Linked DNA regions of Kluyveromyces lactis. The protein of the gene in region 2 interacts with the protein of the main gene of each other region in a pairwise test. Links are inferred from orthologs where the notes say so. Each region holds a gene or a part of one and is shown on either strand. Other genes may lie near its edges. The genes, in order: VIR1 and MUM2.

Region 1 (16,557 bases), about 360 kb from region 2:
CAACGGTCGCCTCCCCACCATACGCATAATCACCTAAAAACACAACTTTTGAACCTTTTGGAAATTCTTTATTAATTGGTAACGGCTCTTTTTCAATATATCTTTCGTCCTTATTTTTTACGTCCTCTACGATTAATTGTAAAGGATAGTATTCGATAGTTTCATTGAAAGACTTAGAATAGGAACCATCAGAGTTTCTCACCAATCCATTTACTGGAACCACTTTAGCCAAAGCAGAAATGTCATCCAAAAGAATGGCCTTTGTCCTTTGATAATTCGATTTGAGAGTCATCTTCAACTCTCTAAATTCTTTCCTTTCAAAATCCTGAGGCTTTCTTTCAATGACCTTTGTTAATTTGCCTGACTTAACTCCTTCATACACAGTTTCCTCTGTAATCAACGACAAAAGTTTAGATTCTCTTAGAAACGGCCATCTTGAATAAACAATCTTACCCATATGTCTTTTTGCTAGATCTGACAGAGAGATGCCATTTTCCTTGTAAAGGTCCTGAATATGCAACACCATAGATTGTTGTTTAGAAGGGAAATTGAAGACAACAGAAGAATTATAAGCAAGCTCTGCAGTTAGTGGTAGTGTCTTTAGGGATGGGAAACCGGCCAAAGAGCTAGCTCCGAGTTTAGCGCCCTTTGGCAAACCAAATAAGAACTTAACGTTTTCCATCGATTCTGGAATGAATTCCCTTTCGATACAATGATTGTGTTCAATATCATTAAACAACCCCGCTAGTGGTGTTTTGTAAACTGTGTCTACCTGAGGATTGAATATGAAAATCAGATCAGTTCCGAACGAATTTCTTTTCTTTTCATCCGGAGAAAGCTTAGCATCATAAGGAGCCATTGCTTCTACTAAACGCTTTTGATCCACGAATGAAATTTTGACGACAGCTTCCCAGTCTGCTGTTTTGCCATTTAGATCCAACTCTACTTCGTTAGGATAGAAGTCCAAGATAGGAGAGTGTTCATCATACATGAGTGGTCTGTACACAACTGGAATCAAATTCTTTGATCTCTCAGGCAAGACGGCCATCAATTGTTGGAAGGGCTTGAAAGGCTGTCCCTTGTGAAATTCTATGTTCTGATCTATACCTTTGATCACATCTGATATACGAGGAGCGTAATGATATCTGTAATACCAGGACCAAGATGGACATCCACGATAATAGTAGTATAAAACCCATTGTAAACCTCCGACATAGTTTTCTGTCATTTCTTTTAGACTATCAGTATCATTGATGGAAAAATCTAATTTATCTTTATAGTATTGATCTTTCCACTCAACGAATCTCTCGCTATAAATTTCACGCTCTTCTTCTAATTCTTCTTCAGATGCAATAATAATACCTTGTTCATATTTCTTAATAGAACGTCTTGTTTCGTGAATACGGGCTTCATGCTCTTCATCTGTTTCTTGCACATTGATGGAGTCTAAATCCAACTTGAAGTAGTACAAATCTTTTGATTTAGAATGAGCAAGAATTAAACCCAAATCAAATGCGAATTCCTTCAAGAAATCCAGGTTGGCCCGAACCAATTCTTTATCCTCAAGAGGGAAAATTTCGAAATCGGCATCCTGTAATTCAGAAGTGACCTTCCGTTGAACGGTTTTCAATAACCATGGTTTTACGGCGCCAATCAATTTCTTTTGTTGTTTCATCAACAACTTTTTACCCATCCTAGTACGTTTACGCTCACCTTCCAAGGAAATATTTTCAAGTTGTTGATTGAACCATTCAACGTCAATATCTTTCTTCTCAAAGTTAAGGTATTCAAAATCGGACAAGTACTTCAACCAAATGGAAAATCTTGCCAAATTTATCTTACCTTGTTCATTAATGTAACCATCCATATGTTGGAGAGCTTCTTTAAAAGTTTGTAATAGCACAGGGAATGCACCTTTTTTCAAATGCAAATCGGGCAAATTTGGTAAGAAATCATTACCGATGGTAAATAATACAAAGATGAAATCATCTAATACTCTTTCAAAGTCGTATTCAAACTGCACAGAATCTGTTATTTCTTCGAACTCTAATGCCAAATATTCTCTCAAGATAGACAAATGCAACAAGAAGAAGTTCTGTGTTTCTAGAGTTTTCACAGAAGACGAACGTTTACCAAAAGTAACTTCTTCTCTTAATAAACAAAAGTGGTGATCATGGGTGGATAAACCTAGGATGATCAAATCAGCATCTAACCCGTAGATACAATGTCTTGTATTTGGATTGTAATCCTCTTGTGCTCTAATTGCTCTGATGTAATCCATGATCTTATGTTCACCTTCACCAGGAACCTCATGCCCGGAGAAAATAACCTTCACGTTCTGCCATCTGGTATCGTTGGTGATCTTGTCATGGATGAAATATTTCAAATTCTCGGTTAATTTTGCCATAAATTCTGTTCCTGGGGTAATAGCGTTGGAATCAAATGGCTCTCCCTTAGGCAACTCGTCACCATTTTCAATGGCCTTCTGCAAAGCCTTTTCGGCATCCATGGCAGTTCTGAATCTACGAGCTCTTTGTTGGTTCATCTTTGCTCTTGGGGCCACACCATCGATTGCCATATAAAATGTCTGTTTTGGTTTAATAGTATGGAAAAGATGATCAATATAACTGAAAATTTTGGAATAAACTTCTTCCTCTGATAGTCTTGAATTCACCTCGCTACCATCACCATGCGTACAATTATGCAAAATAGAATTCATATCCAAGTACAAATTGTCGAACTCTGGAATCTGTGATCCATCGATCAATTGAGAAATTTGAGGCCATCTCTCAGAGATGAAATGAAAGAATTTTGGAATACCCATTTTTAGTTAAGCCACAAACCGTAATTAATTGAACACTTTCTGAGGTTTGCTTTACTGACTTTTTTCCTCCAACAATAGAAAAGATCAACAACAACTGGGATTGGATAGTACCAGTAGTATACGTTGCCGAACAATGAGTAACCACTTTTAGTGAATTGTTATAATATACCCTGATATGGATGAAAGACCCTGAAAGTACATTAACCAAAGCTACTGTTTAGTAACATAATCGTTAAGGTAATTTGGTAATTCTTTCCAATGTTCAATCGGAATATTTTTCTTGGTGGTGGCAAAATTTTTTGAGACGAGGTTTATGGGTTACCCGGATCCATAAGTTCAAGCTTTTTTTTCTTGTTTTATACTCTTTGATGGAAGAGTTGAAAACATTTTGAATATGGAAACTGAGAAAGTAAACAGATGAGGTTAAAAAGAAAGATGGAGAGAGCAGAATTGAGACACCAATTGATACTGAACAGTAAGTTGAATTAACTGAATTTACGGCGTGTAAATATCTAATACTCTTATTACTGATAGAAACGAAATGTTTGGCCGTTCTTCTTCTACAGGTCCTCCAGTAGGACCAAGCACAGGAGGAGGATTATTTGGGAATACGGGCAACCAGCAAAGCACTAGCGGTGGTCTTTTTGGTAATAACAATGCCACATCAGGTAACACTGGAGGAGGGTTATTTGGAAACAATAACAATACAGCGACACAGACTGGCGGAGGATTATTTGGCAGTAATCCAGCAGGCACCAACAACAATACGAACCAAACCGCAGGAGGACTTTTCGGAAGTTCTAATAATACAGCCACTGGCTCCACAGGTGGCCTATTTGGTAACTCAGGAGCCGGGTCTGGCGGAGGCTTATTCGGGAATAAGTCAGCACAACCACAGACCACTGGTTTTGGAAGCTCTGGAACTGGAGGAGGATTATTTGGATCCAAACCAGCACAACCACAGACTACCGGTTTCGGAGGCTCTGCAACTGGTGGAGGATTGTTTGGATCCAAACCAACTACCGGAGGCCCATTCGGAAATCAACAACAGCAATCCCAACAATCTGGTTTAGGAATGTTTGGACAAACACAAAATCAATTTCAACAGCCACCACAACAACAGATACAACAGACTCAACAGAGTGCCATTAATTTCATTAACCAATTAGCTATCACGCCGATGACCAAGATATCGGAGCTTCCGATTCAAATTCGTCAAGAAATCGAACAATTGGACCAATTCATTAGAACGCAAGTGTCTTTATCCAAACATCTTGAAGCTGATCTACAAGATCAAACTGAACTATTGGATTCAATCCCTCGTGACATCAAGTATCTACAAAAATTGCATTTCAACGCAACAAGATCACTATCATCAGATTTGAAACGAATCGATGCCATCAAGACACTAGTGGATAAAGATGTTAAACAATTGGAAAATTTTGCTATAATGTTGCAACAACTAGTCAGTAAGGGATTCAAAATATCAAACGTTGAGATAGATAAGTTCTTCCAGGAAAAATTAATCACATACAAACACAAATTAAATGACTACAACGACACTCTAAGCAATATTGACGACGCAGTGTCAGGTCTAGAGAATGATCTCTTTGGGAACGATTCATCCGAAGATGATGATACCAAGGTCGGTGTTAACATTATCGTCAGCGTTCTAATCGAAGAGTTCAAACTATTCATGGATACAGCTGAAAGAATAGCAGAACTGCATCAGAAGTGTAAAGAAATAATAGTTAAATAGTCGATATTATTCTTTTAATACTATAAAAAAAGAAAGCGTTCAAGAACATATTACCTATTGATGCAGATCACTAACTCCTGCACATGCACTGCACCTGCACCGCATCTGCCACTTGTCTCTTCGCAGTCTTCTCTTCTCAGGCTCCCTTTATCTTCCCTTCCTTATTTAGGTCAATGAGTTGTGAAAAAAGGGAATTTGATACGACAAATATAAAAGGAATAAGGATTAAAAAATGGTTAACAAGGAGTAACAGTTTTCCCGGAAACGAAAATGTGAAACAAAGAACAAAGGAAAGGCGTCCTGGTTTTGTGATTATACTCAAGAAATATATATAGGACTGATAAGAATTTTAGAACGTTGCTGGCAACTAACTATCATTATTGGAATATCAGAGACATATTAAGTGTGACATTTTAGTATTAATTCTGTCAGTATAAACTTATTGTAGATCAAGCTTCAGGCGTAAAATCAAGGAGCTAGGAGATTTTTTTTTTGATTAAAGCGAAGCGATGGCTGAAGTAAAAGATAGATGTACATCAGTGGATGGAAATGACACTTGGGGGGTCGTTGGTGGTGTGGACGGTACATATTCCATCAGGGATCTTGACGCTGGTGAAATGGACGATATTTTATCGGTGACAAGCAGCGACTTAGAGGATTCCGCAGTGTTGCAGAATAAGAAAGGGAGCGTTAATCATAGTAACAATACTACGTCGTTATCCACGCCACTGGATTCATTATCCAACGTTGCGCCTGCAAAGACAACAGCAAGGAGCAATACATGGACAGCGCGCTTGACGAAACTTCAATCCGTTATTCTTGGAATTTCGTTGGTGGCCGGTCTCATCAACATGGGCCTCTTGACCGTTTTCATCCGTGATATTAACAGTTTTACTAAAAACAACGAGTTAGAGTGTAGTTCACTAGCTTTCAAGGACAGATTGGCTTGTCAATTTGATGCATACATGGGCCATAGGGCCCATGCATACGAAGCAGCATACGTGAAGAAAACGCCACTTCCATCCACTTTAGCATCATATTACCCTAGCTTCCCTTCTCTTGAGCAATATTACGAAGTATGTCAGAAGAAGTTGAAATTTACTTATGCAGCAACTTCTAACTGGGTCAGTACAACGGTGAGGCGTGAAAACTTCGAAAGCGTTAAGGAATGGACGAAGAATGCGAAGGAAACAGCAGAAGACCGGATCACTGCTTTCTACTCGCTAACTAAACAGAGATTCGATAGCTACAAGGAGACGCAATGGCCCCGTCAACGACAATCACTATTCAAGTTCAGAGTAAATTTACAAGCTGCTATCCATAGGTACCAGAGAAAAATGAGGAAAATGTACCCACTTGAATTCCCACATTTGCGCAAGTTTTCCGTGCCTAGGATTTGGTACAAATCCTCTGATAAGCTTCGCCACCAATACCATAAAATACTTGATCTCTTAAGGGTAAGAATGTGATGTGTGATTCAGGGTAAAATTTGATATATACCATACGTAAACAGTTTTTCCAGGATATATATGTATGTGTATTTCGTTTCTAAAGTATGTCTTCATCAGGCCTACAGCACAGAGGTTCTCTCCCAGTTATGACGGAACATCTTGGGCCAGATCATGTCTATTTCCCCGTCGCATGTCCGGGTAACAGGAGGGGTAATCGTCCAAAATCAGATTTCGGGGATGCAAATGACTTTCAGACCTTTTTAAAAAACCCAGGGCGTCCCGAAATGATAACTAGCTTATCAGCCAACACGTGAATTTCCCACGTGGAACCAAATACGCCGAACATGGATCTGCGTAATGTTAATAAGGTACCTCATCTTAAGTAAAACGAAAAGGAAATTGTTAGAAAAGCACGGTCTTTATCAAGAAAAGACCGTGCATGGTGCTGCATGTGGGTTCAAGTTCACGTGGTAATGATTGGAAAGTACTGCGTACTTTGTTGGGAATTAATTTTTGTTCTCTTCCACTCGAGGGACCACGAGTCATGAGCAAGGGAAAAACGTGTTTTATATATGCCAATCATAACGGCAATCTAGTGACATTCTTGGTAGGTTTCTAGTAAACCCGCTTGGCACATGTCTGAAGCCATGTAACAGTGTATAAATATATATATATATATGCATATAAAAAGCATTTTCTTTACGGGAGTTGACCAGCGGAGGAGACGTAAAAGGCCGTGGGATAAGATCAGCACACGCTGACGCAAATAAAAAGATAACATAAAAATAAAACCAAACATAATGGATAAGAAGATGATTTTACCACTACCCAAGAGCCCAAAGGAAATGGCAGAAAATCGAGGCAGAGCGACACTAAGTTGTAACCAATTTTCGCTTCTTCCATCCATTCGTAACTTAGTAAACTACACAGACACAGACAATTTCGATGATACACCAAGGACGTTACCTCCAATAACTAAACTCTCGATAAGTCCCCCGTTGACCATTGCCGATGAGAAAAAAGTAAAAGCTGAAAATAAGATAGACACAAGTGACGCAATATTTAGGCCCAGAGCCCACTCAGACTCTTCATGCTCTTCCACAGATTCATTGTCTGAGTTAGATTTCAAACAATTGCAAGAAAAGCTACTGCACGATAGACCAGAACCCGGGTACATCCACGAATGGAACCAAAAGCAAGGACGTGGGGCTCGTTACAAGAAGAAAATACACTGTAAGAAATGCCACATTTGCGGGAAAGAATTCTCTCGTCCAAGCACTTTGAAAACACATATAGTGGTGCATTCACAGGCGAAACCGTTCAAATGTACATATCTTGATTGTAACAAGAGCTACAATGTCAAGAGCAATTTACGAAGACACGAGAAGAAACACAAGTGCCACAAGTGTTGATTTTTATCTTTAACCTTAAAGGATAATAAGCTTTTGAACTTTTTTATACAAATCGTATACTACAATATGATGCAGAATGAAATACAGGTAATTAGGATGGTATATTTTATATTTACATATTTATACATATAAAGCACACAGATATGTGCATTGGTATATGTATATTACGGTAAATAAGAGCGAAGATCTCAGTGTCACACGACACATCCGTAAATAATGATGATACATGGCCCAAAACTTGTTTTGTTTCGAGGAGGGCCCAGACCCTGTTGAACGGCCTTGGGTGTTATCATAATCATTATTGTTACCCTCCCGAGAATCTTACAGAAACATGAAATTCCAGTCACCCAGCAAAGACGTACCCACTTTATAATTACGTACCACCATCATCCGTAACCCTTGCAAAGCCGCTTCAGAAGAGAGCAGCTCGGTAGCTGAGGTTTATCGGGATCAGGTTAGGCTGGCTGCCCATGCAACTCTTGCTCGCACGCTCATAAGAAGCTAGCAAACCACGTTCTTTTTTATAGCTATATATGGACAACAACCAACGTTTAATAATCAATAACCCACGTAGCCGTATTGCATCTAACGACGTATTGTTTCTCCTCTTACTGCCGTTTCTTGGGAAAAAATTGCACTTGAGTGTTTTTGCCAAATTTTTTTTTTTTTTTTTTTTGAATCATCGGTTGGCAGGGTAAAATTTCCGTTCTGATGGATTCTCCCCTCGAAATGATTAAACCATGATTCTTCACTAATTTAATTAATCTCCAAGAATAAATACATATACTATATATAAATGACGGTGTTTGCCAAGTATTATTTTAGCAGACCACTTGTTCAGCAAAGCTAAACAGACATTTAAAGAGAGAGCAGGTACGTTTCATCGAGGTATAGTGTTAGCTGGACGAGGGATTTGCGCTTATCATTGAAAGATTAGCAATTTAAAAATAAAATAACATTGCAGGAGAGGGATCAAGGTCTCCTTTCTAAAGTAAAGAAAAAGCATAGGACAAGTGCACATTTTTTAATTGAGAAATTGCTTCTTCCACCGCAGGAAACTAATTTATGACGATGGCCTCAAAGAATTTTGCTGCCAAGAGGAAAAGAACCAGGACTTTGGAAGGCATTAATGAAAGCTCGACACTGAGATCACAATATATGGATGGACACATGTCAGATCCTATAATGACGGCAGCTGCGGCCGCAGCCGCAGCCGCAGCTGCAGATGTCTCAACGTCTTCTGCTTCAAATACTGGACGGATGCAGAATCCGTTCATCGAGGAATTTATGTCATCCAACAACGATCCAATGACGGCAGATTCGTTAAGGGGCACGCTTCTGTTGGATGTTGACAGACAGGGCCAGAATTCAGGATCTTTTGTTACCGGTATCGCTGCTAATAATAGGAATAGTAAACAAAATGAAAACGGGAACGGATTTGATCTTGTAGATTTGGACGACAGTGCCGTGGAGTTTGTCAATAGTGTCAACTATACGAGTGCCAAAAAGGTAAAGAAGCAAAGAACAGTCTCTTTACCACAATTACCGCATGCAAGACTACTCTACGAACCCAGAAATACGGATAGGAGGACACAGAATGATGACGAGTTATTGCATGTCAGCGGTACTACGACGCAAACTGTTGATGGGAACAAGTTGATTAAATTGCCATTGATCAGATCTTTGTCTCCGGTACCTGTTGCTGATTTCAGATTGGGAAAAAATGGTGGTATGCAAAACAATAACCAGGACCAGAACTTTGACATCTCAAATTCTGCCTCGAAATCTCCATCCAGGTTCACCAAAATTTTAAAGAAATCTCCGCTATTGGGCTCCCATCAGGACAAATTACGTTCTATGGATAGATTCAAAACTGATGAGGAAGGTCATTATGTATACCAGGAGAATGACATTTTTGCCAAGAACAGATTCCAGGCTATGCAGCTTTTGGGACAGGGTACTTTTGGGAAAGTGGTAAAGTGCAAGGACTATTTAAACGATATCACTGTTGCTGTCAAAATCATAAGAGCTGTCGATAGATATCGGCAAGCTGCAAAGACAGAACTACGTGTCTTGCAGACTATAAAGGAAAATGACAGGAGTGGCCAATATCAATGCTTGCTGTTGCGAGAATTCTTCGATTACAAGAATCACATATGCTTGGTCACTGATTTATACGGCAGGTCCGTGTATGACTTTATGACAAACAATGGATATGCAAGGTTCCCTGGTTCCCATGTTCAAGCTATCGGTAAACAGTTGGTACGTTCTGTGTGCTTCTTGCATGATTTAGGAATAATACATACTGATTTGAAACCGGAGAATATATTGATATGTGATGAAACTTGCGTGGAACAGTCACTTCCAATGGAAATCATAGACTCTTTAACTGAAAGAAGGAAACTGGCTAGCGGTGGAAAGAGAAAAATACTCATAAATCCTGAGGTGAAATTAATTGATTTTGGAAGTGCTGTATTCTACAATGAATACCATCCACCTGTCGTTTCAACGCGTCACTACAGAGCTCCTGAAATTGTTTTAGGGCTTGGATGGTCTTTCCCATGCGATATCTGGTCAATAGCATGTGTATTGGTTGAGCTAGTTACTGGCGAGTCACTCTATCCAATTCATGAAAATACAGAGCATATGGCTATGATGCAACGTATCAACAATGAAAAATTCCCTAAAAAGATGGTTGAAAAAATGTTCTTCAAAGTTGAAAACAAGTATGGCAGCATCCCAACTGATTTGCAAACTTCAGTTGTAAAATATTTCGACAGACAAACAGGAGAATTAAGGTGGCCTCTCCGGAATTCAAAAGGTCAAGTCATTACCAAAGAAAAGTCATGGAAAAGAATTTTGGCAACATGTGACAGGCTGGATGTTTTTATCTCCAAAAAGTTACAAATGGACTATGGATCTTGGCTGGAGATTCACTGGGATATGCAGTTAGAGGACAACTGGCGTCTAATTTTATCAAAAAATATTGATTCCAGAAATATTGATAAGAACGTTTTCATGTTTTGGTATTATTTCGTTGATTTATGTCGTAAGATGTTTGAATTTGATCCAACGAAAAGAATAACGGCGAAGGAAGTGATTGAACATGAGTGGTTCAACATTGGGATTTTAGATGAAGGTATTTCACACTACGGAAGATTATAGGTAATTATGTTTTTTTTTCTTTCATTTCTCTTATTTTTTTATTTTTTCATCATGTTTGTGCAACATTAGGATTAGGGTCGAACTTATACTTTTCTTCCTTCCAATTTCTTCCAAGATTAATTCGCTTGAGTACAGACGGTTTTTCTAGCTCAAGTTAACTTCATTCTTATTCAATCTACTATTTTATTTTTTTTGTAATTATTATACTTTATCTACTGAATGAATTTTTTTACCTATCGTCTCATAATCATTTCGTTATTCTTTTCAAGGTTCTCTCCTAAAATGGTTGGTTATAAAGAGGGAGCATAAATCAAAATGGCGAGAGATCGTAAGGGTCCGTTGATCGCAGCATTCTATGATTTTATAATCAAATTTACGTGATTAAGATCTTTCTTACTCGAAATTTGTCATTTTTTGACGTTCCTGTCGTTCAATTTGCCGCGAATTATAGCGAGTTAGTTATTCAACGCTGCTCAAAATCATCAACATGTACACTTTTAGTCCTGCTATTATTGACTGCTCTATTATGCCCGCCTAGGATGTAGCTTTTGCCAGTATTAACAAGTTTCGTGGAGTTTACCTGATTGTATTGTGACACTGGAGGTGGGGAGCTCCAGTTCTGCACCATCTGGGCTTTTGATTGCTGATCGCTGTTAAACACTCCCGAAAAGCAATCTGCAAACGAAGTATTCATACCTGCAGAAACCCCGGATGTTGTTCTAACACTGACAGGTTTGAATCCATAGCTGCTGAGAGAAGGATGCACGGGATATTGTGGACTTTGTTCAATCTTCTTCGGTGTGCGGGTATGCATACTAGTATCTTGTGGAACGAAAGAGCTTGCGTTAGTGTTGAATTTTGATCTTACCTTAGGATGTGAAATGCCTTCCTTGGATGGTTGTTTCGTTTTTTCCATAAGTAGCTCAAACAAGTCACCAAGTACTACTGTTTTTCTAAGGATTTCTGGTTGCGGTTGCTTGAAGATTTCTGTGAAGAAAGGACTATACAATTTTGATCCATCATTCCATAATACGATGTAATCAAGCAAACCATGAGTTGTCAGTTCATTTGCTAAGCATAACTGTAAGATCCATTGTCCATCACTCTCAAAGAAGATATGGCGTAATATTATCATAGAGATGTCCTGAAAGAGCAAACTTTCTATGCTTACCTGGGACACAAACTTGATAAGATGGTACAATCCATTGTTCCCATGATTGTCAATGATACACTCAATTTGTTTAATAGATTGCCTGAATAACTGCTTTGCATCTACTAGAGCTGCTTCAGTATTCAAAAAAGTCCTACTAGCGCCGTCAGTCTCGAGTAATTTTTGGGATAACAAAAGCACTGTAAAAAGAGGAACGAAGTAAATTGTGAAATGCATTGATACTGTCTTATTTTGTACATCAGAAATGCAATTTGACATAGCTTGCGATCCGAGACATAGTGGATTTAAGCCAATATTTCCATAGTAGGTTAAAAGTGCTCCATTTAAAGATAAAGTGAGTTGCATACACTCAAAAATGTTACTAAAGTTCTCTTGAAAACTGTTAATCATTTGTCCTTTTTCAATCCTGTTGTCATCAAATCCAAATACTGCCCTAGATACTGGTGGAATCTTTGGACTCAAATCTTCAAACCATGCTGGGATGGCCAAGTTCGTTAATTGTCTGTACCAAAGGGAATTAGTTTCCATTTCATAACCGTTATTAATGCATTCCATTACATTAATACAGTATTTCGATAAAATATATTGCAAAAGGTTAATTAAAGACGGCAATGACTGCGTTGTTCCCATTTTTCCAAGAGTATGGTGCACTTCTGATATTTGATTTGACATGATACACTTTTCCCACACATGTCCCAAAGAAACTCTTAGTAACAGTAACAGATGAGATTCCTCTAAGAGTTCTAGTTCCGGATGATCGACAATCTCCATGATCACTTGCAAATAGAATTCTCCATTATCATGAAAGAGTTGTTCGAAGGTGTGATTGTTCATAGAATTGCTGGAAAAAGATATGACAGTTCCTTGCAAGTCTTTATTCAACCATTTAAAGAACTTTAAGGATCTTCTAATGAATTTGAGAGATAGATATTGTGTGGCTTCCGTCTTAATATTTAATAAGGCCTTCAACCTTCTAGGATAAACTTGAAAGTTTGCAATTGCCATATCCAATTCATGACGTTGCACAGTTTTAATTAGTATTCTTTCCTGTACCAAAAAATGAACAACGTCAAAATCTTTACAATTATTCCTAAAAGAGTCGATCCACGATTTCCAAGACGGAATCCATGAATTTAATATGACATCTCCCAAGTTAAGGTCTAAGAATCGCATTACCTTTGCATCCAATGTTTTGAAAGTCTGTAATTGGAAAATTATATCGTAGAACCCGGGAACATGATCTTTATGGGGTCGTAAACTGCAAGTCTTAAGGAATAATAAATTCAAATTAGAATTTTCTTCAAGTTGACTAATGAATTGAAATACAAGTGTTTGAAGTGATTCATTTACGGAACAATAAGTAAACGCTACTCCAAACAAATCAATACCTTCTTCAACGGCATCAACCATAGAAACAGAAACCAATAATCTGGACAATAAATTGTCACATACCGATTGATCGATACATACCGCTTGATTCCCGGCTACTCTTAATATTTCAAGTAATTTATACCAAACATTAATCCTGTGTAAATCGTCTGTCTCTTTAGCCGCCAATATCCGAAATAAGCCATCTAAATTCTGAATTGGTTGTAAACTTATTGAGGATATGCCATCCATCTTTACCAGAAAGAAAGCTTGCTTTTTTTTACAATCAAAGCTCCAAAATATGCCGAAGTAATGTCACTTCTGGCGTTCGGGATAATCATTACTTTATTTCTCTTGATTAAGATCCAAGATAAAACCCCTTAGTTTATATAGTTTCAGAAGATTCTTTTTTCTCAAGATTTAGACGCCCAATACTATGAGACAATAACGAAAAAAGGATCGAAAAATTAAAAAAGGGTTGATCAGTTCGTAGTATAAAGTAGATATGTTTCAGATTGTAAATGCTACGGCCGTACAAAGCAGCAGTGTATCCAATGTATACAAGGCAGGCAATTAGCACCAACCACTGTCTTGACTGTTCATTTTCTGCGGAACGACGAACATTGCTCTCGGTTAGGTAGGTATTTAGTATATAAAGTAGCACATACTTGAAGGGAAAATTGCACTGAAAAAACAAACCGTTTGAAAAATTAGGGAGATAATAAAGGAACGGTGAAAAAACGTGAGACACAAACATCACTAAGTAATCGAGACTCCGTATTTGTTAACGATGGGAGCCCGTGCGTTATTAGTAATTGATATTCAGAACGATTTCTTACCACCAAAAGGATCATTGGCAGTTCAAGATGGTGATACTATCATCGATCCTGTCATCCAGCTTTTGCAAGATCAGGATTGGGACTGTGTTGCCATGACTAAAGACTGGCATCCGCCAGACCACATTTCTTTTGCAAAGAACCATGGATTACCAGATTTCAGTTCATTCACCTACGACTCACCCGTTCCTGGGAGCACCGAGAAACAAAGTGCTACGTTATGGCCAGTCCATTGTGTCCAGGAGACATGGGGCTCTGAGGTTCCGGAAAAATTACTCGCTGAAATTTTAAAGCTCAAGGTGCCACATAAGATTGTCAATAAAGGTTACTTATCGGATCGTGAGTATTATTCCGGATTCAACGATATCTGGAATGATCATCACACTGAACTTGACGCCTTTTTCAAAGAGAATGATGTTACTGAAATCTATGTGGTCGGACTTGCATTCGATTTCTGCGTAAAAAACTCAGCAATAAGCGCTGCAAACCTTGGTTACCATGTAACTATACTCAAGGATTATACTAAAGCTATCGCAAATGATTTGCAATCGATTGAATCGTTCATCCAGGAATTGGCCAAAAATGAGGTCTCAGTTCAAGAGTCCATCTGATCTGGACATGTTATATGGACCGAAACTTCAAAACTATACACAAGACATATAATACCCGCTATGTACACGTCGACCGCTGATTGTATTTATGAACCCCTCTATGAACTCATATCATTGAACTGAACCCTGAATCCATTACTTGCCCTCTGCATCTTCTTTCTCTTGGTCAAACGACCGTATCGCCCGTCTGTCGATTCTGGCCAGTACAAAAGCTTTTTTTAGATTTTTTACTTCGCTAAGGTTGTATAGACCTTTTTTTTTCAGTTTTTCATATATAGTTTCATGCTGAAATCTCATCAAATGATTAACTACCACTGCAAAGAAAAACGCATTCTGTACATATATACATTCTGTACATATATACATTCGTATCATAGATCAAGAGGTGTAGGTTTTAACAACAGTTGGAGCGTGTGCGAAACATTAATTTAATTGGGTTTACTGTTTAGAAAATTGGTTTTTTCTTGCTGTTTGTTGTTTTTTTCTTCATTGAATGATAAAAAGTTCTTAGGGATCGATAGAGAGAATTAATCGTTTGATTCACAAACAACATCCCAAAAACATTAAATTTGTGGGCATTTTCTTAATTTTACAGGCACAATGGGGTTACCAAAGATTTCAAGAAGAACGAGGTACATTATTGTCATTGTGCTGATACTGTACTTATTGTTTTCTGTGCAATGGAATACTGCGAAAGTGAATCACCATTTCTATAACAGCATTGGCACGGTGCTTCCCAGTACAGCTCGCGTGGATCACTTGAACTTGAAAAACTTGGACTTAGCAGGTACGAGCAATAACGGTGATCATTTGATGGATCTACGAGTTCAATTGGCTAGTCAATTCCCCTACGATTCTCGAGTACCCATCCCCAAAAAGGTATGGCAGACCTGGAAGATTGATCCCAGTTCAAAGTCACAGGTTTCTTCCATTTCAAAATGCCAGAATGATTGGAAACATTTCAGTGCATCCGAGGAACCGCCATATCAATACCAATTAATCACAGATGATCAAATGATACCACTTCTAGAGCAGCTATATGGTGGGGTCCCACAAGTGATAAAGGCTTTTGAATCCTTGCCACTTCCAATTCTTAAAGCAGACTTTTTCAGATACTTGATCCTTTATGCAAGAGGTGGTATATATTCTGACATGGATACGTTCCCATTAAAGCCATTGTCGTCATGGCCATCGACTTCTCAGTCCTACTTTTCTAGTTTAAAGAATCCACAAAGGTATAGAAATTCCTTGGACAACCTTGAAACGCTAGAAGCTTCAGAACCTGGCTTTGTCATTGGTATCGAGGCTGATCCGGATAGAAGCGATTGGGCAGAGTGGTACGCCAGGAGAATACAATTCTGTCAGTGGACAATACAATCAAAATCTGGCCATCCATTATTGCGCGAATTGATCACAAATATCACCGCAACAACATTGGAGAGCGTGGCAAATGTTAAAAGCAGCATTCCTTTAGATGATGCTGAAGTATTAAAAGACATTGCAGATGATTATAATGTCAACATGAGGGATAAAAAGAAGTTCAACAAAAATTACAAACATCAACAAAAGAAAACCGCCAAAAATACAGATGGTACCGATATTATGAACTGGACTGGTCCAGGTATTTTTTCAGATGTTATTTTCCAGTATCTTAATAACGTTATCCAGAAGAATGATGACATTTTAATTTTCAATGATAATCTTAATGTTATCAACAAACATGGATCCAAACATGATACAACTATGAGATTCTATAAAGACATTGTTAAAAATTTACAAAACGACAAACCCTCATTGTTCTGGGGATTCTTTTCATTGATGACAGAGCCTATTCTAGTGGACGACATCATGGTACTTCCGATTACTTCTTTCTCACCAGGTATCAGAACAATGGGCGCTAAAGAAGACAACGACGAGATGGCATTTGTTAAGCATATTTTTGAAGGAAGTTGGAAAGACT
Region 2 (15,063 bases):
AGCGTCCTATTCTGTGAGCCGGAAAAAGAAGAAGCCCAACTTCGTGCCCGCATGGTGTTTTTGCATTTCGTCATTATAGGATGCGAAATAAAGGAAGATGATTTTTGGCTCCGGGAACACCTCATTACCCGGAACGCATGAATAGCCCCGTTAAAATAGTGGAAGCTAAGAGTACTCGGAAGGAGATGTATATTTTAACGTGAAATCTCTTAGATCCGGGTAATTATTTTAATCTCTCAGGAGGGTCTTTCCCTTTTTGTCCAATAGAATCAAATCACGTGAGATAGAAGGTAATTCAAGCACTCACAATTATCCAGATAAATATTACCTCAGTGGTTAAAATCAGTTTATTTTATTAATTCATTACGTTTGGATATGAATGCTACAAATAATGTTTACTTTTTCGTTCCCTCAGCACCATTTGGGCAATGTTGTCCGCAATACGTATCTGTCATCCTTTTCATCCAATTCCATCACGATGACACTACCGTTCGGAACGTTAGTTAATGATTCAAACTCTTCGTATGTCCATCTAAACCATTTCATTAAGAACACGCGTAAGAATATACCATGTGTAACAATAGCTACCACGTCCCTTTTTTTCCCTCCACTTTTCTCGAAATGGCGAAATAACGATTCCTGAAACCCTGAACACCGGTCGTAAACGTCTGCAGCAGATTCACCTTGAGGGAACCTGAAGAAAAAATGACCGTAATTAGCTCTTGTATTCATCACCTCGGTCATCGATGCAGTCTTCTGGAAATTACCAAAATCTTGTTCCCTAATCCGAGGCTCTTCCTTCACACGGTAGTGAAGGAAATGTTTCTCCTCATGTATAAGACTCGGATTGGTCTCAGTATTGTTAATTAGTTTAAAATTCGTTACGCTTTCATTATTTTCGAACACTGCACTTGGAAACACGGGGCATTGCCAGTGTGCCAATCTTCTTGTTCCCAAAGGTTGATACGTTTCCCCCTCGCATACTCTTATGCCGCAATTCAATTCGTTGTATCTATCAATCATCTCAATGATCCCTTTCAATGTTTCTCTGGTTCTACGGTATGGAGAGGTGTAAAATACTAGATCCGTATCCTTAGTGGATTTCACCCTTTGATAGTTTTGCTCCAGTTGTGGTCTATCTTCAACGTAATCCTCTTCAGCCTCAATATCCTTGGTGATCGAATCGTCGTCGACATTCAACAGTTTCAAAATTTCTATACCGGCCATTCTGGCCTGATATCTCCCATTCTTCGTTAACGGGATCAAATGGTTTGGAGTGTGTTCATTCACTTTCTTATCTTTATTAGATTCACTTTCACCATGTCTGATCAGCAATATTAATCTAGGTTTCATCGTGTTAAATTAAAGGGCTGCAATTCAAAATAAATTCCCTCCTATTAGATATTTGTCGATTAATTTAAATAGCTCTGTCCCACTACCTAATCTCCTGTGGGGGTATGCACGTATTCCAAAAATGCTTCGCTGAGTATTGTATTTTCCAAACTGACAGACCTTTTTTACGAATCCTTTTTACATAGAAACACCTACAGATATTTCATTTCTTTAAAAAAAGGGCTTTTATTTGGATAGTACCTTGCATTTTATGACATATTTCTTTTAAAAGAGCCAAACCTTTGCTACTGATGAATTTTATACACCTTTGGATGAGGCGTGTTGGAAAAGTAGAGGAAGTTGAAGTTAAGTTAAGTTAAACCTATAAAGACCATTGAATGTAACGGATACTTCGGTTCAAGAGATATTTGTTTTTGTGAAGGGATCACATATCGGATGCTTGTCTTGAAGCATAATTTAGTATTCAAATATTAAAGAGCCAATCATGTTCGATAAGCTAAAACAGAAGGTTTTGAATAAATCAAGAGAAGTAACGTTCTTGGACTTACCTCAACCAGGTGAATTGAAAGACGAACGAATTTTCTATCAGAACAGAACTAATTATGGTGTTAATTTCGGATCAATGTTCGTACTAGAGCAATATATCTTCCATAGTCTATTTTCTGCTGGTGGTGGTAATGAATTTGATGCTATCACAAACCAGGTCAAAGCAAGCAACTCAAATGACACTGCCAAAAAATTATCTGATCATTATGATTCATATTTGAATCGTGTAGATTGGAATTGGTTAAGATCAGTTGGGTGTACTGCGATTAGGTTGCCTGTTGGATATTGGCATGTCAAAAATGGTGAATTATTGAAAAATGGCGAGAAGTTCTATAGCTTGAAGGACGTTTATTCCAAGTCGAAACCATGGGACAGAGTGAAAAAGGTGATTTCTTTGGCAAATGAGAATAAAATTGGAGTTCTATTGGATTTACATGGATTACCAGGCGGAGCTAATGGAGATGCCCATAGTGGCGAACAAAGCTGTGGTTCTGCTACTTTCTTTGATGAATCGAGTTTCGTCAAATCAATCGTTGATAATGTTATACCTTTTGTGGTGCAAGATCTACAATCAAATGTAAATTTAATCGGATTGCAAATTGTCAATGAAGCTCAATTTGATGAAAGCGGTAAGAAACAAAAATCTTATTATGAAAAGGCTGTCGAAAAAGTGCGTTCTATCAACAGTACCTTACCGGTGGTTATTTCAGATGGCTGGTGGCCTCAACAGTGGTCTGACTGGGTTCAGGAAAAAAAACTATTCACCGACGTTATAATCGACTCACATGTGTATCGATGCTTCAGCGATTCGGACAAGGCCAAGAACGTTGAAAAATTGATTCAAGATTTATCATCCTCAGTGCAATTTGACAGGTCTAAGGCAGATTTCACAGTAGCTGAGTTTTCCTGTGTCATTGATGGTCAAAGCTGGGACAAGACTTCCGGAAACAGAGATGATCTTGTGAAGAAATATGGACAAGCACAGACAAGTATATTCCAGAGGCAGGCATCCTGGGGATGGTTCTTCTGGACTCTTCAATTTGAATCTGGAGATGGAGGAGAATGGGGATATATTCCTATGGTCAATAAAGGCGCTATTCCAAACAGACCCACGACGTGGAAGAAACCCGACAATGGTGCAATCAATAAACTTGTTGAAGACCACAAAAACTACTGGGCTGACAAAGGTGGTGACAAGATGGAACACTGGAGATTTGAGGACGCTCTTCGCAATACAATCAAGGACATCGAATCGTTCACGACATTTAACAATTCACTCTTAGGAAGAACCTGTGCTTGGAAATATTTCAGAAGAGTACAGTATATAAAAAGTAAGGGTGATGGAGAATATATGTGGGAATGGGAACAAGGGTTTGATCAAGCTATAGCCAACTTCAATCATTATTAGGCGTACTACACATGGATGTTTTTTTTTTGGATCTTTCGATTCATCTGATGTATAACTTTGGACAGAATATAACTAGATATGGCAAATGTCAATGACATTGATTTATCTTCTGGGGTATAACTTCCCTCAAACTTACCGTAAAATACTTTACTTCAAAAAAAATAGCTGATTGTCAGCTGATAGCGCAGTAAGTTATTTTTAACAGCATTTTATTACCAGAGGGTCCGAATGTATCTTAACCCTAATATGACCCTAATATGACCCAACAAGTGGTTTTTTTTCCTTTTTCCTGTCATATTTCATACTTACACTGTTTGTACAACTAAGCCTAACTTTAATAAACCATGAATCCCGCTTCTGAACTCATCTTTCAGCCTTTACTGCTAAGTTGCCGATGTGCACTTGTTCAGTCTTTCTGCAGGATTTGTGCACAGACGCGCAAGGCTTAGAAAGAACTTTCGAATGAGGAGAAAAGAAACATTCGAAAAAAGCTATCGAAAATACCTATGATTAGAACTTGAAACATTATTACAGCCGTAACCTACATGTTATATATATATATATATATATATATAAGTAGTATTGACGAGACGACTTAGTGTCGAGAAGAGGTTCGGTTGGAGTCCTAATCCATTCAATAGCAAACCAAAGAGGCAAGCAGATCTAGGAAATCACATAAAACAATACAATTCCAACAATGGGCCGTCATCGACAGCCAATGTACTATCAACAACCAGTGTATCAGCAACAACAACAGCCAATGTACTACCAACAGCCTCAGCAGCCGGTATACGTTCAGCAAGCTCCTCCAAGACAGGACAGTGGGTGTTGCGGGACGTGTTGTAAAGCATTAATGTGTTGTTGCTTGTTCGAGTTATGCTGTTCTATATTAAGCGGGCCTTAGATCAATGCTTGAACATTCTCTTGAAAGATGGATCCAAACTGAATAACACAAAACTACAAACAAAAATGAAAATAAATGTATCACCGCACAGTACACTGCTGTTCAATCTATCGTTAATAGTATAATTGAAGCAGTATTTAGAGCGACCTGTATTATATGTAATCTATATCATTCTATATCATCACCGAACAATTTAATATATTTCTGTATTTAACGGTCCTTAGTCGATCCAAAGGCAAACTGTTGACATGAATGAACAACATGGGCAATTGAGTGATATACCATTGACTATTCTTCTTTTGCCCATCCCGCAATGAACTTCGATTATTACTGTTCGATATGTTGGGAAGAAATAGCCACGTTCTAGAAACTAATCTGTGCATACAAACCTATATCCATACATATATATGAATTTGATTCGTGAATGATAAAAATGGTCAATGGCAGGAAATGTGCTTTTGAAATGACCCCGGTCTATAACAGACACTATGGCCAATACAAAACCTTGAAATGATATAAATGGTGAATTCTCGCATACCACGTGACACAAAACTTATTATTCCTGGGGCAGTACCCGTTGCCATGCAGTTTTTCCGACGTATTCAGTATAACTAACTCCAACTTTGAACCAAATACACATTACATTGCACAAATTTAACCTGTACTTTTTACTGAAACTTCAAAATTTTTCAATTGTTGCACCTAAAGTATAAGCAACGGTACTTCACCCTGCGACTATGATAAATATTCGTACCTTGTTTCTGGTTCGGCAAAACTCTGTGTCGTTACTGGAAATTTTTTTTTTTCTTTTCAAATTGTTACTCATAATATTTTTCCAGAAATGTATATAGGCATGATTTCTTTGCACAAAAAGTGAAAAAAAAAATTGGATGGAACATCATCACAACACTTTTCGATGAGCCATCCACTCTTTTCCATTTGCCAAAGGAAGAGCAATAGAGGCAAGAAGACATTCACTGATACCACCATTGCGGTAAAAACAGGGTAGTAAAAAATGTTCATCACTAACGATCATATTGGGGACAGAAGTAGTTTAGAAGACTGGAGAATCAAGGGATATGATCCATTGACCCCACCGGACTTATTACAACATGAATATCCCATCGGTGAAAAGGCCAAAAAGATCATCGTTGAAGCTAGAGAGAAAGTATGTGACATTTTGAATGGGAAGGACGACCGTTTAGTTGTAGTTATTGGGCCATGTTCTATTCATGATCCAAAGGCTGCCTACGAATACGCAGACCTTTTGAAGAAAATTTCTGATGAATTATCCGATGATCTATTAATCATTATGAGAGCGTACTTGGAGAAACCTAGAACCACTGTTGGCTGGAAAGGTTTGATCAATGATCCAGATATCGATAATTCTTTCCAAATTAACAAAGGTTTAAGAATTTCTAGAGAGATGTTCACCAGATTGACTGAAAAATTACCAATCGCTGGTGAAATGTTGGACACCATTTCTCCACAATTTTTGAGTGACTGTTTCTCTCTGGGTGCTATCGGCGCTAGAACCACTGAATCTCAACTACATAGGGAATTAGCTTCTGGTCTTTCTTTCCCAATTGGTTTTAAGAATGGTACTGACGGTGGTCTCCAAGTTGCTGTTGATGCCATGAGATCTGCTGCACACTCACATTACTTCTTGTCTGTTACTAAACCTGGTGTCACTGCCATCGTTGGAACAGAAGGTAACGAAGATACCTTTGTTATCTTAAGAGGTGGTAAGACTGGAACTAATTTCGATGCTGAAAACGTAAAAAAGACGCAAGCCGAATTGGTCAAGGCAAAGGTTGCTGATGCTGAAGGTGTCCAAAGAAGAATCATGGTTGATTGTTCTCATGGGAATTCAAAGAAAGATTTCAGAAATCAACCAAAGGTGGCTCAGTCACTTTACGAACAACTATCAGCTGGTCAAAATGCTATCTGTGGTGTCATGATCGAATCTAACTTAGTCGAAGGTAGACAAGACGTTCCTCCAGAAGGTGGCCGTGAAAAGTTGATTTACGGATGTTCTATCACCGATGCCTGTATCGGTTGGGAAACAACTGAAGATGTTCTAAGATTATTGGCAAAGGGTGTTAAAAACAGAAGAGCTCTTTCAAAGGCTTGAATAACAATCACTTTTCCCGCATCGTTTTTGTAATACCTCATAATCTTCTTAAACACACAATCACTTCTTGAAAAGATAGCCAAACTCAGGTAACTGGAAGAATAAACGGCCAACCAATATTTATTTTCCGAGCCTCCTCATGTACATATTACAAGGACAAGTCCGCATACAGTTTATTTAATCAACTAAAATTACTTCACATAAAGGTCTACACTTTGTATGTTCAAGTTTCTCTAATCGTAAGTTTCTAACGTCGGATGAAATAAATATCAATGGTTCATTTACATTTTTGTGTGTCAGCAAAGTATACCTAATCTAGGTAGATGTTATATAGCATACATGTATCTTGAATTACTCTCGAAAGTTTTTAGATCGTCAAATAAAACGTCCAACTAGAATGTCATTGGCAGAAAAAAGCAAAAATATCAGAAAAAGAAGGATCAAGATCTTATACTTTGGTGTTACTTTTCTTGCTGTAGAATCCTTAGTCTTTCTTTGAGTTCTTGGTTTTCTTTACGTAAAAGTTCGAGCTCGATACTTGTCTCCTTCACTCGACCATAACTAAGCATTTTTGCCATTTCTTCGTTTTCCTTCATTAAAGTTTCCAATCGAGTTACCATTTTATGTGCTAAAGCTTCTTCGTCATATCTACCAAACTTTGTAGTAGAATTTGAAGGGTTAAGCGCAACCGCTGTAACTATTCCTTCTAGTCGTCTTTTTGTTTCTTGTAATTCTTGGTCCTTTCTCTTTAATGAATCTGATAACTTACAAAATATTATTTCCAGGGATGCCGGTATCTGGATTTCAGAATCGAAAGTAAGAGCCTTTGATTTCTTCATTTTCTGCTCTTCTTGCTGCTTGAAAGTCAAACCCTGATTGAATACCTCCTTCAATTTTTTTATCTCTATTTCTAACGATTCTATCTGTGTCTCTTTCAACTGTAGTTCAAGTTTGAAGTTGTCTGATGATGGCTCTGTTTCAGAGTCGAAAGTGGTATTGAATCCTGAGCTTTTAGCATATGATGATCTGTCCATTATTACCGTGTTATTTGAAGAGCTTCCAGGATGCGTGTTTGACGAAATGCCTCTCGAGGACTCTATCTCGGGCGAATTATGTTGTTCTATGAGCGGCTGTTCCCAATATGATGACATGCTGCTCCTATGAGTAGAAGATCCGCTCAAATGGCCCTGAAGTCCTTGGTTATAGTGGGAGCCCATACCATCAATGTTCCCATGTAAGCTGAAGCTACCTCCATGTGCCATGCTGGAGTTCATGACATTGGCGGTTGTGCCATACAATTTGGACTCGTCAGAACTACCAAAATTCAGATTGGCGAAAGAGTTATCCAAACTCTGTTGGTTATATTCAGGTTGCTACACGATAACATTGACCTGTTAGTAAAAGGTTAATTATGAGTTAGAAACATTTATAGTCTCAATTTGGTTGTTCCATGTTTCATAGAAAACAGGGACAGACAGAAACAGTATTGATTAAAAATGTGTCATGTAGGCAATCCTCCAATGTATGCAAAAACTTACGTAAGACATATATCCGTTTGAATTCATGGTTTTAAAATAACTTATGGTTTGTTGATCGTTTTTGGAAGATTGTGTGACTACTTACTTGGTAACAAGTGTTCTGTCACTGGTAAATAATTGATCTAGTTTGCTTTATTTTTAAGGGCAGATCTGACATGTTTCATTTTCAGGGAATCATGAAGCATATTCACGTGACTTGCAATGGCTGGACACAACTGCCTCCAGACAGGAACCGCTATAAATAGGAATAAGCCCACCATACTGTATTGAATTGAGTCATGTACGAGGATATATATGTATATATGGACACACAACCATATCGTTGAATACCCAATGCAGATAGGAAGGTGGGCAAGTCCTATTTTTTTAGAGTTTCATGTTGTGATGCATGTCTCTTTTATTTAGAGAGGAGATGCCTCTTATTCTTCAAGGTTGAAGAAAAACATGTAGCCATTCTTTTCTATGTCCTCGAAATTTGGTTCATCGTTGGCCAAGAGAATTTTTTCATCGTTGTAGAGAACCCATTGTTCTTTTCCTTCGACCACTTTCTTAATAAATGCAACGTAATGGCCACTGTGAACTGAATTACCTTTATGGCATATGACAGCAGTCAGTTTATACTTAGCAGAGGCAATTGACGATGCTGGGATTCCAAAACTTTTTCTGGATTGATCCTTCCATTCCTCAGCTTCAGGTAACTCCCCGTCGTCATCCATATGGGAGAAAACCCATTCTACACTGGCATTGACGTCACCATTCTTCAATATCAAAGCTTTGCGGCATAGTTTCGAATCAAGCCCCATAGCAGTCATACTGTTTAGTGCTTCTGAATCGACACGATTTTTCGCTGAGGATGAAGCATGAGGATCAAAGGCCTCGTTTAAGTTAGGGTCCTCCATATGCTGGAACAACCATTCCGTGGCTGCATTAGGGTCAGAGTTTCCCGTTTCAAATAATGCTCTTTTGGTAGCATTGCGAGAGAATCCCATCTGTTCTAATTGTCCTAGGAACAATTCGTTGAATTGGAAGGAATCTGATTCCTCTTCTTCTTCGACTTCTTCCCCTTCGCAAATTCCTGTAGCTTTGAATGGGGACATATCTAGTAAAGCATCATCGCGTACACCAGGTACCACAACTTGCTCTGATGTCTTGCTTGGCTGCCAGTTGATTAACTCAATTCTAATCGGGTTTATGATAAGTGTACGTGGGAAACTAGAGAACCCTGGTACTTTTGATGCAGTGTTAATTTTCTTATTGGTGAGACAACGGTATTCAATTTTTTCCCCACTGAAGTAATCATTTAACCTGTCAATTAGATTTTGCTCCCCGTCTAGTTTTCTTAATGGAAGCTGAATGACTTCTGAAACTTGATCCATGAACTTAACTTTGTTACAATTGTCACATTTAATCTTGTCTTGAATGTTGAATCTAAACAAATCGTTTGGATTGGTAGTAGTATTTTTAAATATCTCTCTATCCAATTTATCAGAGAGATAGGAAAAAAATTCCAAGGAATCTTGCTGTCTTCCAGAGGAAAATTCTTCATGCGAGCCCCCAATAACCTTTTTGAAAGTGGTGGGTTTAATACCCTCAGGATATCTGGATTGCTGTAAGGTCATAGCATTTCTGATTTTGATTAGTTGACAGTGTAAATTCGTTCTTGGATAGACGACATCTGTAGGAAAGGATCCTAATCCATCTAGGTTCCAATTTCTGATCCCACCGTTAAGTAAAACTTGCAATACAGAATTTAGGTAGCAAGAATTGCCCAAATTTAATAAGCCCAAACCGTATTCAGGACCATTTTGTAGATGTTTTAAACTTTTACCTTGTGAATCTACCATTTGAAAATCCCATTTCAGACTTTGTTCCACTTGCAATTCCACCAATGTCTTTTCTTTGGACTTGGCTGGTACTTCGACTTCCCAAAACTTCAAGATATCCTGCAACTGCAGATTATGGGTGAATTTCACATCTTCATCACAAGAATAACAGTATATATCAGCTGCATCAGCTGTCAAAGAGCCCAATTTTATCGCTAAAGCGTGGCCATCTGTGCTTTCATAATGTTTCAAAGCATGAGAGTACCCCTCTATCCCAACCTGCTCTCTTCCACAGGCGACGTTTCCACAATGGAGACATAACCAAAGGTTAGAAGTAAGACCACAGTCGTTACAGCTTTGAGAAATGCCACCTTCTCGCTTCTCCAAGTTCGATAAGTCGAAAGTCTGTATGTGTGGACATGACTTTAATTCAAGTGTCCAGGTATTTGACATATCTTGATATGATGAGGATTTTGTTTGCAAGATTTCACTAATTTTGTCACTCCATTCCTTAGGAATAGATGGAGTGTCTGAAGATAACAATTCTCCATGTTCCACAGATCCAAGCAGCCAGTGGGTATCATATAGATCATCCTCATTCACATCCTTAACCTCAAGCTTTAATTTCTTTTCCAATGGTGGCGTGCCAGCTTCTTCTCGCTCTTGTTTTGGTTTTAGAACCTTGAATACTCTGAGATACAGATCATGGGTAGAACCAGTCTCACTCAAAACAACCTCTTGATGTAGTTCCCAATGCTCTTCGGAGAAAGACTGAAAGCAGCGTAGACAGATGAATAATGAATGTTCACGACCCTCATCTTTATTCTTCATCGTTTCAAAACAATAAACACAGTCATCTGTATCAATGACCCTGGGTACATTGATATCAAGGATATCAGAACCAGACATCTTTAATTTGAAGGCAGATATGATGCGTTGTGGAGCTTTGTTCTTATATATTGATGTTCTATTTCTTGCACACTCATTTTAAAGGATCAAACTCCAGTAATTTCAAATTTTAAACCATGCCGTAATTATGGAAAATATAACAAAGAATTAGGTAGATGAACGAGTTTTAAAGTAGAACGCATCAATTAGAGCTGTATTTAACTTATGGCACCCTTATGTACTGCCGAAGAACAATGCCATTCTAAGAGAGGATAATGAAATTTATTGCGTGTAGGTTAATCGTAAGTGTATTTACAAGTGTTCGATGTACTATATAATCGAAATGTATAGTTTTTATAGTTTAGCAGAGGAAGTTTTCCATCTTAAGAAACCATCTGGGTTTGGAACACATTTTCTGTCAATAATAAAACCTACCAAGTAGTCTACGCCGGTCTTACTCTTCGTGGCGGGGTTCAATTGTTGGAAGAATTTGACAGCTTCCTTCTTAGTAACTGCAGTTTGTCTTCCATGGTTGTCAGCACCTGTGATATATTTCTCAACTAGAGTTTCGTTTGGTAATTGGTACTTGCTATGATGTGGGTATTCAGAGAAAGTAACTAAATTTGATGGGCGGATCAACGACACCGGGTTTGAGGAGTTTTGTGAGATTAGAACTGATATTTGGGCTAATTTCAAATCTTTGATCTTCCATTGGTATGGGGTCTTGTTCTTTTCTAGCAATTTATGACTAGTGGCCTCAGCAAATTCACATAGGTCCGGAGATTCTGACATTTTAGTAGCAGTGATCAAATCTTGGGTCAAGGCGGTTTGAATGTCAGTGAAGGAGTTTCTTTGGAAAAGTTCTTTTGCGATTTCCAAAGAAACAGGGGATTTGCTAGCTAGCATTTGCTTGGTCTTTGCAGCAAACTCCTGAGCTGTTTGTGATACTGTCTTTCCAGCAATGACCTCATCCAATTTGGAGTAGATTTGCTTCAAACTGTTACCGATATCGAAACACTGTTCAATGACGTTTAGTTCATCAGCAGTGTACTTGAACTTGTAGTCTCTTGGTAATGGTGCGTTGAATTCCTCAATAGCATGGTTGACAACATCGAAAATTTCATCATCACGGTTAGTCGATTGAGAAGTGGCTTCAGTCAAATGTAACTCAGCCAATCTTGCCTGTAAGTTGGAGATCTGATCATGTGGCACATAATGAGAAGCGACACCAGCCACGTAAGCATCGGCACCATTCAAAATGTCACCAGTCATGCACAAGTACTGAGCCAATTGTCCGTTGGAACCACCAACAGTGGTAAGCTTTGGAATAGAGAAAGTGGCACCGACATCTGGGAAGAATCCAATATCCATCTCAGGCATGGCCCAACGAGTATTTTCAGTAGCAATACGGAATGGAATATGAGTAGATAGACCGACACCACCACCCATGGTGATACCGTCCATGATAGAGATGACCGGCTTGTTCAGCGTAGCTAGAGCCAAGTTTAACGAGTATTCCTTGGTGAAAAATTCTCTAGCGTAATCAAAATTTCCTTCCTTAACCAACTTGGCTACTTGAGCTACATCGCCACCTGAACAGAAGGCCCTAGGACTAGCTGAAGAGTTCAAGATAACAACATTGTTAACGGTACTCTTGGCATATTCTTGCAATGTGGGCAAGATGGCACTGCACATCTCAACATCCAATGCGTTCAATTTCTTTGGTCTATCCAAAGTGACCACTCTGGCAGTGGAATCGACTCTAAACTTAACTTCAGACATAAATCTTAATTGATTAACAGCCAATCTGGTCTTCAAAACGTGTCTCAATGACTGTTGCTGTGCTCTACAATAGGAATGCCTCAACATTATGGAATGCTATGGTAAAAATGGGTATAATAGATGATGTTGATAACCCGCCAGGATATTATAAGACGCTGTAGATCTCGGTATATATAGATATATTTGGTCAAAGATATCAACGTAAGTTAAGTATGCAGCAATTAAAGGGAGACTGCTACCATTCTTCTGTTCTCGTCAAGTTCGTTCCACTCAATGTTCAGGTTCAAATTTGTTTCAGCAGATGGAGAATAGTGAGTGACCAAAAAAAAAAAGCTACTACGATTGTTGAACAATTTCAGTACCTAATGGATTGAGCAATTCTCCAACTTGAAAGGGGATAATAAGACAAGATAGCCAAACTGCGAAGCAATTTAAGGTCGGTAGCAAAGGGGGTACAGAACTTATGTACGCGTATAATTGCATTCATCCGGGGTGGAAGCAAATCCTGTATAAGATTGAACCATAATCTTGCAGCGGTTTGTCACATCGTTTGACATTTGAAATGATTTAGAGTATGTCAGGATTGGATCGAAATATATCAGTTTTGCATATTTAATGGTTAAACAGATATTGGTGGGGCCCTTGGTACCACCAACCCTGTGTCTGATGTTAGAACAGGGCGTTCCCTCTCTGTGTCTTTGTTTCACGTGACCGTACTTTTTCCCATTTCCCTTAAAGCGTAATGAAAAATTTCTTTCTATCGCTCGAGAGCACACGGAACAGCAACATCTCATCGCATGGTTTTTGTTCGTTTAAAGATATATTGTAATTCCAATTACAGATTTCTTTCTAAGTATAAACCACATTTCTTAGCAGGCTTTGCTTGCGTTTAGGTTTGTGTATGTGTTTGAATTTATCACATCATAAGATCAGTTCTTTTTCGGGATTTAAGGATTTTAGATTTTAAATTTTAAAAGCTTAAGTTCTTTTAAATAGTCACGCATAAACATAGGATTTATACCTGATCCAACTGGTGTGGTTACATTGAGAATATCAGTATCAAACTCAATAATAAGATTCTAGGCAGGCTTGGAATCAAGGATCAAGAACTGTATTTTTGTCAAGCGTGTTTCCGGTTCCTGTTTTTTTATCGGCATTGTTTTACTTTCAAGTTTTGATATAGCATCGGAATCGCTATCTTAACAAGAAGAGAGCTTCATTAAGACCCTTAGACATGACAATTGTTCATAGAGATTTGAAAGTCTCTGAGAAATTTGTCGACGTTCCAAGTGCAGATGAGGATTTTAAAGTTCTTGATAACTTCTACTGGTCCGCACATAAAGAACCCCATGCTATAAGAAGACATGCCATAATTAAGAAACATCCAGAAGTGCAGCGACTTATGGGCCACGAACCTTTGACTAAATGGATTATCATTGGTGTTGTGTCGCTTCAGTTATCGCTTTCCTATTACTTAAGAAATACCCATCCTTTTACTTGGAAATTTTTCATCATTGCATATGTCATCGGTGCTACCGCTAACCAGAATATCTTCTTGGCAATCCATGAATTGTCTCACAACCTAGCATTTAAGAAACCTGTCCACAACAAGTTGTTTGCCATTTTCACAAATACCCCAATTGGTATCCCATACAGTGCGTCATTTGGACCATATCATCAATTGCATCACAAGTTTCTTGGAGATGAAATTTATGACACGGATATCCCTACCAGGTTTGAGGCTGTGCTTTTATCCAATATCTTGGGGAAATCGTTCTTTGCCACATTCCAAATCTTCTTCTACGCATTTAGACCTATGTTTGTCACAAGGATCAAATTCACCTACATCCACCTTTTGAACGTGTTGTACCAATTTATGTTCAATTTTATATGGATCGCGAATTTTGGTTGGTATTCATACTGTTATTTCCTGATGTCCTCATTCTTAGCCGGTTCTCTACATCCATGCTCTGGCCATTTCATTGCAGAACACTATCTGTTGAACATTGAAGAAGCTATCATCGGTGGTAAACTGATGCTAAAATTAACGCCAGCCGAAAGACAACCAATTAACGTCACTGATGAATCAAACGTCTCAAGAGAAGACGTCGAATTCAGGAAAAAGTACGCATTGGAGACGTATTCTTATTATGGGCTTCTAAACTTCTTCACTTGGAATGTCGGTTTACACAATGAACATCATGATTTCCCATTTGTTGCTTGGTCCCGACTTTGGGAATTGAACAGTTTATGTCCGGAATTTTATAATCATCTGCCAAAGCACTCCTCCTGGTGTAAAGTCTTGTACGATTTTATTACCCACGATGATGTCGTATTATACAATAGAGTGAAAAGAGTTAATAAAGAGTTCGAACAAAGCAAGGCTTAACTCATGCTTCCTGGGTGATTCTCGTAGACATATTATAAAAACATCAAAAACAAACACAAGAGAACCGGGAAAACGGCTCCTGATATGAAGTCATGATCACCTGCGAAATAACCGTGATACATTTCTAAATATTTATCCGTTTTTATAGATTATATAGCCCATACTTTCTAAACAAATTTACTCTTGTCGAACCTTCAGGACTTGTCTAAAAGGGAGTGTGATAAGAAATGGTTTGCTTCAATTTAATGACAATTTTTTTGTCATGGATATGTGTTGATTGGATTAGAGATCGGAGTTT

Evidence for each region.
Region 1: the proteins of MUM2 (region 2) and VIR1 interact in binary tests that used the Saccharomyces cerevisiae proteins (3 or more experiments, as listed by UniProt). The link is inferred for Kluyveromyces lactis from reciprocal best matches to the Saccharomyces cerevisiae genes MUM2 and VIR1.

The regions. Positions count from the first base shown.
Region 1 is NC_006042.1:2,077,502-2,094,058, reverse strand, and holds VIR1 (Vir1p), read right to left. Parts: upstream 13,403-16,557; coding exon 11,075-13,402; downstream 1-11,074. Other genes in the region: chromatin-binding exonuclease XRN1, read right to left, coding at 1-2,824; FG-nucleoporin NUP49, read left to right, coding at 3,366-4,583; KLLA0_F22341g (uncharacterized protein), read left to right, coding at 5,093-6,052; KLLA0_F22319g (uncharacterized protein), read left to right, coding at 6,835-7,446; serine/threonine protein kinase KNS1, read left to right, coding at 8,512-10,611; PNC1 (nicotinamidase), read left to right, coding at 13,941-14,597; OCH1 (initiation-specific alpha-1,6-mannosyltransferase), read left to right, coding at 15,198-16,557. UniProt on the Saccharomyces cerevisiae protein: Component of the MIS complex, a complex that mediates N6-methyladenosine (m6A) methylation of meiotic mRNAs and is required for initiation of meiosis, progression through the meiotic divisions and sporulation.
Region 2 is NC_006042.1:1,714,290-1,729,352, reverse strand, and holds MUM2 (Mum2p), read right to left. Parts: upstream 7,620-15,063; coding exon 6,807-7,619; downstream 1-6,806. Other genes in the region: acid phosphatase DET1, read right to left, coding at 412-1,353; MRX18 (17-beta-hydroxysteroid dehydrogenase-like protein), read left to right, coding at 1,838-3,307; KLLA0_F18766g (uncharacterized protein), read left to right, coding at 4,005-4,211; 3-deoxy-7-phosphoheptulonate synthase ARO3, read left to right, coding at 5,227-6,345; ubiquitin-specific protease UBP14, read right to left, coding at 8,303-10,615; EHD3 (mitochondrial 37S ribosomal protein mS47), read right to left, coding at 10,949-12,463; KLLA0_F18656g (sphingolipid delta(4)-desaturase family protein), read left to right, coding at 13,611-14,765.